Canis lupus familiaris: one gene and its partner. Each later gene encodes a partner of the first gene's protein in a complex. Links are inferred from orthologs where the notes say so. Each region holds a gene or a part of one and is shown on either strand. Other genes may lie near its edges.

The links. Proteins that work in one complex are often made in the same cells at the same time.
Region 2: KAT5 (region 1) and ANP32E share a complex: the UniProt entries of both Homo sapiens proteins name them as parts of the SWR1-like complex. The link is inferred for Canis lupus familiaris from reciprocal best matches to the Homo sapiens genes KAT5 and ANP32E.

What each region holds. Positions count from the first base shown.
Region 1 is NC_049239.1:52,006,204-52,010,349, forward strand, and holds the start of KAT5 (histone acetyltransferase KAT5), read right to left. Parts: upstream 2,935-4,146; 5' UTR 2,691-2,934; coding exon 2,513-2,690; intron 2,193-2,512; coding exon 2,124-2,192; intron 2,034-2,123; coding exon 1,897-2,033; intron 1,645-1,896; coding exon of another isoform or gene 1,618-1,644; coding exon 1,462-1,617; intron 1,373-1,461; coding exon 1,298-1,372; intron 1,192-1,297; coding exon 1,117-1,191; intron 245-1,116; coding exon 1-244. UniProt on the Homo sapiens protein: Catalytic subunit of the NuA4 histone acetyltransferase complex, a multiprotein complex involved in transcriptional activation of select genes principally by acetylation of nucleosomal histones H2A and H4.
Region 2 is NC_049238.1:60,119,392-60,122,157, forward strand, and holds the end of ANP32E (acidic leucine-rich nuclear phosphoprotein 32 family member E), read right to left. Parts: intron 2,179-2,766; coding exon 2,124-2,178; intron 966-2,123; coding exon 895-965; 3' UTR 572-894; downstream 1-571. UniProt on the Homo sapiens protein: Histone chaperone that specifically mediates the genome-wide removal of histone H2A.Z/H2AZ1 from the nucleosome: removes H2A.Z/H2AZ1 from its normal sites of deposition, especially from enhancer and insulator regions.

The DNA.
Region 1 (4,146 bases):
GACGCTGCAGACACTTGAGACTACGGCCGTATTTGAGGCAGAACTCGCAGAGGTAGAGGACGGGCAATGTGGTAAGTTCCTGTGGGTATGGGGAGAAGTACCACGGCTTCAGGCGGTGCCGGCCCAGCTCGATACACTCAATGTTCTTCATCCGGGTGACAATGTCGTCGTGGCTGCGGTCAGACACCAAGCTGCCAGTCATGCGTGGAGCGGACGGTATTCCATCTGAGCTGTCCTGGGAATCCTGCCCAGGCCCAGTGGAAAACACCAGGTTACAGAAGACAGCTCAAGCAGGACACCCGACAGCTCACACAACCCTTACATAGCTTTCCTTATTTTCAAAGTGTAACAACAACTCTATGGCAGAGGAAGAAAAAGGCTGGTACTACATTGTATTCCCCACTTTCCAGATAAGGGAAGGGAAACTAGGTAAATTATCAATTGCACTTTGAAAAAGATCACCAATGACTGATCTGAATCAGCTTTGCCTGGCTCCTAATCCTGCCAAAAACCATCACTGCCTACCACCTCTTGTTTATTTTTTTAAGTTTACTTATTTATGTATTTTTAAAGTTTTTTTTTTTCTTTAAGATTTTATTTATTCATGAGACAGAGAGACAAGCAGAGACATAGGCAGAGGGAGAAGCAGGCTCCATGTAGGGAGCCCGACATGGGACTTGATGCCGGTCTCCAGGATCACACCCTGGGCTGAAGACAGTGCTAAACCGCTGAGCCACTCGGGCTGCCCTATTTTTAAAGATTTTATTTATTTATTCATGACAGACACAGAGAGAGAGAGGCAGACACACAGGCAGTGGGAGAAGCGGGCTCCATGCAGGGAACCCGACGTGGGACTCGATCCTGGGTCTCCAGGGTCATACCGCGGGATAAAGGCGGCGCCAAACCGCTGGGCCATCGGGACTGCCCGAGTTTATTTATTTTTTAATAATCTCCACCCAAGGTGGGGCTCGAACTCACAACCCCAAGATCGAGAGTGGCATACTCTTCTGACTCAGCCAGGTGCCCCTTCTTGTTTATTTTTAAACCCATCAGTAAACTCTCTGTGCTACCTATATTTCCTCCTTTTCACCTAGCTTCCCTCTTCCTCAGACCTACCTCGTCAGTGCCCAAGCAATTTGATTTTCGCTTCCGTCCTGGCTGAGCTGCCACTGCCCTACGGGCCGATCCATTCTGTAGGTAAAATAATGAGAACAAGAAAGGAGGGTTGTGAGAGGAGCCTGATCGGGGCTGCCAGAGAGTAGACAAGAGGAAGAAAAAAAGGGTTTGGGGGACTCACCTGGGGAAAAACTGAAGCTGGGGCTGTCTCGCTGGGCACTGGAGTTGCTGGTGAAACCACCTCCACCTTCCGTTTCTGTAGAGAGAAACCAAGAAAGGTGGGTCAGACGGTAGAGAAGGTGGGACCTCAGAGGAAAGCAAGGTCCCTGGAATTGCTGAGGGTACCGTTGAGCGGTGGTTGGGCTGCAGGCAGGAGCTGGAGGAGAGCGGCTGGTCAGGCTCGCCACCGGGAATGGCCTCCCGCTCCTTGGGCAGGTTGAAGCGGAGTGTGATCTGGACCGGGATTGGCAAGGTCTTCCCGCTGGCCTGGGCGGAGGCCGGCTGTAGAGATAGGTCCAGGGTCTTCCTCTAGGGTGGGGATGGTGGTGGGATGGGAAAGGGGAGTAGGGCCCCTCAGCATGATCAAGTCCCACCCTCTGCCCTCTCAAGGACACAGGAACAGCTACTGGACTCTGGAAGCTACAATTTGGCCCCCATCCTTTTGCAAGCTAAAGCCAGAGTAGAAGGGTGCAGACTTCTACCCATCCAAAAACCCCTGAGGCCAAGAGATGAGAAAAGTAGGAGGCAGGAGAGAAAAGGTGAAGCAGGGGACCTACTCACCACCTCTCTCTCTGGAGAGCCGGGGCGAGACCCAGGAAGTCCGTTCTTGGTGGGGGTCTTGGCCTCTTTCTTGGGGAACTGGATCTTCTTTAGGTCCAGCCGCTCGTGGGTCACCCATTCATCCAGGCGTTTGTTGACTGTAGCAGTGGGGATGGCTCAGGAAGGAATGCCAGAGACTGTTTCCCAACCCCTCCCCGCAGCCCTACCTCACCCAGCCCAGGACTCACAGTCAATGTAATGGACGTAGAAAAGCTTGCGGCCACTGATGTCCTTCACGCTCAGGATCTCGGCCAGGGCTGTGGAAACAACACAGGCAGGAGCCTTAGAGGAGCCAGGCGAGGAGAATTCACCCTCCTAAGACCTGATCTCCACCGTCAGGCCGATACCTAAGCCCCAGGACTTGGAGGCTTTCGCCCAAACCCCCTTCAATCACCAAGTGCCGCCCCCTTTCCAAGCCCCGCCCTACCCATTCGGAGCGGCAGAAGGCCACGCCCCTCCTGGGTATCGGCGCCCCGCCCGCCCCAGGATTATAGAGGCCCCACCCCCTCCCGAGGGTTCCGTTGACTCCCGCCCCTCGCCCTCAGGTTCCTTAACCCCGCCCCCCGACGTCACTCACGCCACTCATCTTCGTTGTCCTGGTTCCGCCGAAGCACGGGCAGGCGGCAGCCCTCGATTATCTCCCCCTGGGGAGACAGCGCGGCGCCAGGGTCGGCTACTGGGGGGCCTCGGGTTCTACCCACCTCCCCTGGCTCCCTCCGCCCCGCCCCGGGCACCGGACTCACCACCTCCGCCATCTTCCCTCCCTCCACTGCCACTTCCGGCCCCTCTGGGAGACGTCACTTCCGGGACTGAACGCGCTGTAGGCCCGTGCCTCCTTAAGCCGCTTTAGAAGAAGACTTTTGAGAGACACCGCGGCTACCCTGGAAGCAGGCAGCCGCGCCGTTTGGCTGGCGGGAGAGTGGGGCGTTTTAAGTTTCGGCCCGAGTCCTGGGCAGAATCCCCGAAACGCGCTCGATTGGCGGAAAGCTGAGTCCGTCACGTGACGCCCACCGGGTGCGACGCCGGTCACGTGGATGCGGCGCGGGTCACGTGCAACTAGGTTTGTGCTTCGAGGACGGCCCGGCTCGCGCGTCTCCTAGTGGCAGCAGGAGGCGTCGCCGGGAGCAGCTGCGCGTGGTTGGCCCCGGGGGCGGGGAGTTGGGGGAGGTGTCCTGGGGGGACTTGGGAAGCTGGAGAAGGGGGAGCACTGCAAACGGACCTTGTGCCTGGCGTTTTGTGGACTTCTTCCTTAGGGTTGGGATTCAAATACTCAGGCTTGTTTTGTATGTTTTTAATTTTAAAAATAATACTCATGCATACATTCAACAGATATTTGGTGATCTAGCATGTACCAGGCATTATTCTAGGAGCTTCTACTACACTAAATATAATAAGCCTGATCTCATGGAGCTTACAGTCTTGGGGATTGGGAGGAAAAAGGGGCATAGATAATAAGTGTATTTAAAATTAAATTACTTAGGGCAGCCCCGGTGGCGCAGCGGTATAGCGCCGCCTGCAGTCCAGGGCGTGATCCTGGAGGCCCTGAATCGAGTCCCGCGTCGGGCTCTCTGCATGGAGCCTGCTTCTCCCTCTGCCTGTATCTCTGCCTCTCTGTGTGTGTGTCTCTATGAATAAATAAATAAAATATTTTTAAAAAATAAAATTAAATTAAATTATTTAGTATATGAAGAAGTGATACATATTATGAAAACAACCCCCCTCCCCCAAAACAATGCAGGCCAAAGGAGATGGGTAGGTGGGTTGGTTGCAGTTTTAAATAGAGTGCTCAGGGCAAGCCTGACTGGAATGGAGTACTTGAGCAAAGCTTTAGAGGGCCGAAGGGATGAGCCATGCAGGTATCTGGGAGGAAACTGTCCCCAAAAAAACACCACAATAAAGGGGAGAAAAGTATAATCTCAGATCATCACAAGAAAATACCTGCAGTGAACGTTTTGTTTGATTGTCTTGGAGACCTGAGGTGGGCAAACTAAGCTGGTGGGCCAAATCCAGCCCTCTGCTGGTTTTTTTTTTAAAGCCAGTGGGATGGTTTTGTATTTGTTAATGGTTGTGGAAACATCGAAAATAATATTTTGTGATACATGAAAGTTATGTGTTCAAATACTCCTCATTTACATTTTATCTATGAAGCCTTCACATTAAGATTGGATGATTGTGCTTGGGATATGTCCCATAAAACCTAAATTTTTTACT
Region 2 (2,766 bases), on another chromosome or scaffold:
GCTCCCTGCATGGAGCCTGCTTGTGTCTCTGCCCCTCTCTGTGTCTGTCATGAATAAATAAATAAAATCTTTAAAAAAAAGGGCGGGGGGTGAAACAAGAAATGGAAGTCATCATAAAGGAATAGCTGGGAGGAAAATAAAGAATGTGCACTTGAAAACAAAATAAACAACCGTTGATATTTTGTGATCTTCAGCTTGAAAAACAAAGGCTCAGCTGCATGAATCTGAACTTAGTATAAGCAATTTTCCTTCAAAAATAAAATATTAGTCACCTGGCTTAAAAGGTTTCAGAAGCCTCCACAAAAGCCATGAACTATATTGTTGAATAGAACCTTTGCTATTTTCCTACTTTCTAAGTTACTGATGTGACAAAAAAGCACCCAAATACCCTTAGCCCTCCCCCAAAAGGTCATTGCCTTCAAGCTAGAGATCTCTGGGTCACCTCTAAAAATATAACCAACTTATCAGTCAAGAGATTATTTTCATTTCATATTCCAGCCGACTGTGATTTCAGTTAACTTATAAATAACTTTAAAACCTTATAAATGAAATGCACCAAACTACGCCTGTGTAAAAGTGATCATGTTTTTAATTATGGGCTAAAAATAACTAATACAGTGAGCTTGAATGAGAAAAATGAAGATTCTAAATAAATTGCTAGAGAATTTCACAATGGGGTCAATGAAAATTTTTTTCTCTACATACAATATGATCATTAACAGACTAGTAAATCTTATTTGGAATGATAAGGCAAAAATAGTAAAACCACACTTTTCCTATAAAAAGTTACAGGTTATCTTCTGTAGGGATCGCTATGGTACATGAAGAAACAAAGAAGATGTGATCACTCTATTGCACACCCAGGAACATTAGGGAATCTGGTCTTAGAATGATCTAGTCATCTTCTTCATCTCCATCATCTTCAGCATCTCGTTTCCTTTTTTCCCCTCGAAGACCTTCTTCTTCTGAAAAAAGAGTGAAAAAAACCAGTAAAATACTCAATTTTACCAAATGAATATCTGCTAAATTACAAAGTTTTGAATCTATCTTAGTGAAAACTTACTGGCATAAAAAATTATACATTGTTTCCTCTCTGAATTTAACTTCAGTGTACTGAACAGACTTAATAGATTTAGAAATCCATAAACAATGACAGTTTGCTGTGCACCCTTGTGGCCAAATCATGAAGTACAGATCAAGAACCCAGGGGCTTGTCAATAAAAGAGAATCATTAGTAAATTTTTAAACTTATTATGGAAGGCCTAGGTAATGAGTACTAGAAAGCAAATCTGAAAAGGCTGTAATCTGGAAATAAAACAGCTCTTCTCTTAGATATATGGCTTCACCTTCTTCAAAATGAAAGACCTAAGAAAATAATAAATTAAGCTCAAGGTTCTCTCTTATCTCTGTTCATACCGGTTATAGAAATAAATGTTAATAAAATCTTTAAGAAAAAAGGGGAAAAGGCGTGGGGGGGATCCCTGGGTGGTTCAGCAGTTTAGCGCCTGCCTTCGGCCCAGGGTGTGATCCTGGAGACCCGGGATCGAGTCCTGCATTGGGCTCCTTCCATGGAAACTGCTTCTCCCTCTGCCTGTGTCTCTGCCCCTCTCTCTCTCTGTCTCTCTGTCTCTCTCTGTTTCTCGTGAATAAATAAATAAAATCTTTAAAAAAAAAAAAAAAAAAGAAAGAAAGAAATGTTATAGGCTGGGTGGTTTTTTTAAATGAAATTATTAAATGCCTTGAGAAAATTACTCTTTCAAGAAAGGTTTTACATCTCAGGGTGCCTAAGAGGCTCAGTGGGCTAAGTGTCCAACTCTTGATTTCGGCTCAGGTCATGATCTCAGGGTCTTGAGATCGAGACCCACATCAGGCTCTACACTGAGCCTGGAGCCTGCTTAAGATTCTCTCTCTCCTGCCAACCTCCATTATCACTCAGGCTCTTTCTTTCTCTCAAAAAAAAAAAAAAAAAAAAAAAAAAAGGTTTTACATCCCTCAAAGTGCTCTATGTTACCAAAATCAAATCAAAGATCAGTAATAATTTGAACTATAAACTCATTCTTTAAAGTACGTGAATAATAGCTATAACTTTAATGTTGGGATTTTTTGCAGATAATGTAACTCACCCTCTTCTTCCTCTTCTTCCCCTTCTTCAACGTAATCATCATCATCTTCTTCATCCTTAAAAACCAAATATTCAGTTTGAGAATAAAAAGCCATGACACATTTTTCACTGTTTGGTAGTTATTCATTCCAACAAGAACAAAAAAACTATAGTTATCCTGTGTTCTAACAACCTCTACCTAACTTATATAGGTCTTCTTTAAGAACCCAACTAAATCTGGTTTATGAAAGTAAGTTATATTTTAGACTGACACTGTTCAAAAAAACTTTCTGCAACAATGGAAATGTTCTGTATCTGTACTGTCCACATGTGGCTACTGAGCACTTAAAATGTGACCAGTACAGGGGTGCCTGGCTGGCTCAGTAGAGCATACAAGTCTTGATCTCAAGGCTGTGAATTCAAGCTCCACATTGGGTGTAGAGATTACTTAATAAAAAATCTTTAAACAAAATAAAGTAAAAAATGTGATCAGTACAAATGAGGAACTGAATTTTTCATTTTATTTGAACTTAAATAACCAAATGTGCTCAGTGACTACTATAATGGACAGAGTAACTTTAGACAATTTCAAAGAAAAGTTTTCTATTTTATAGAGTAAGACAGGAATTACCTGAATCCTAGCGCCAACATAGTTATATGCATTG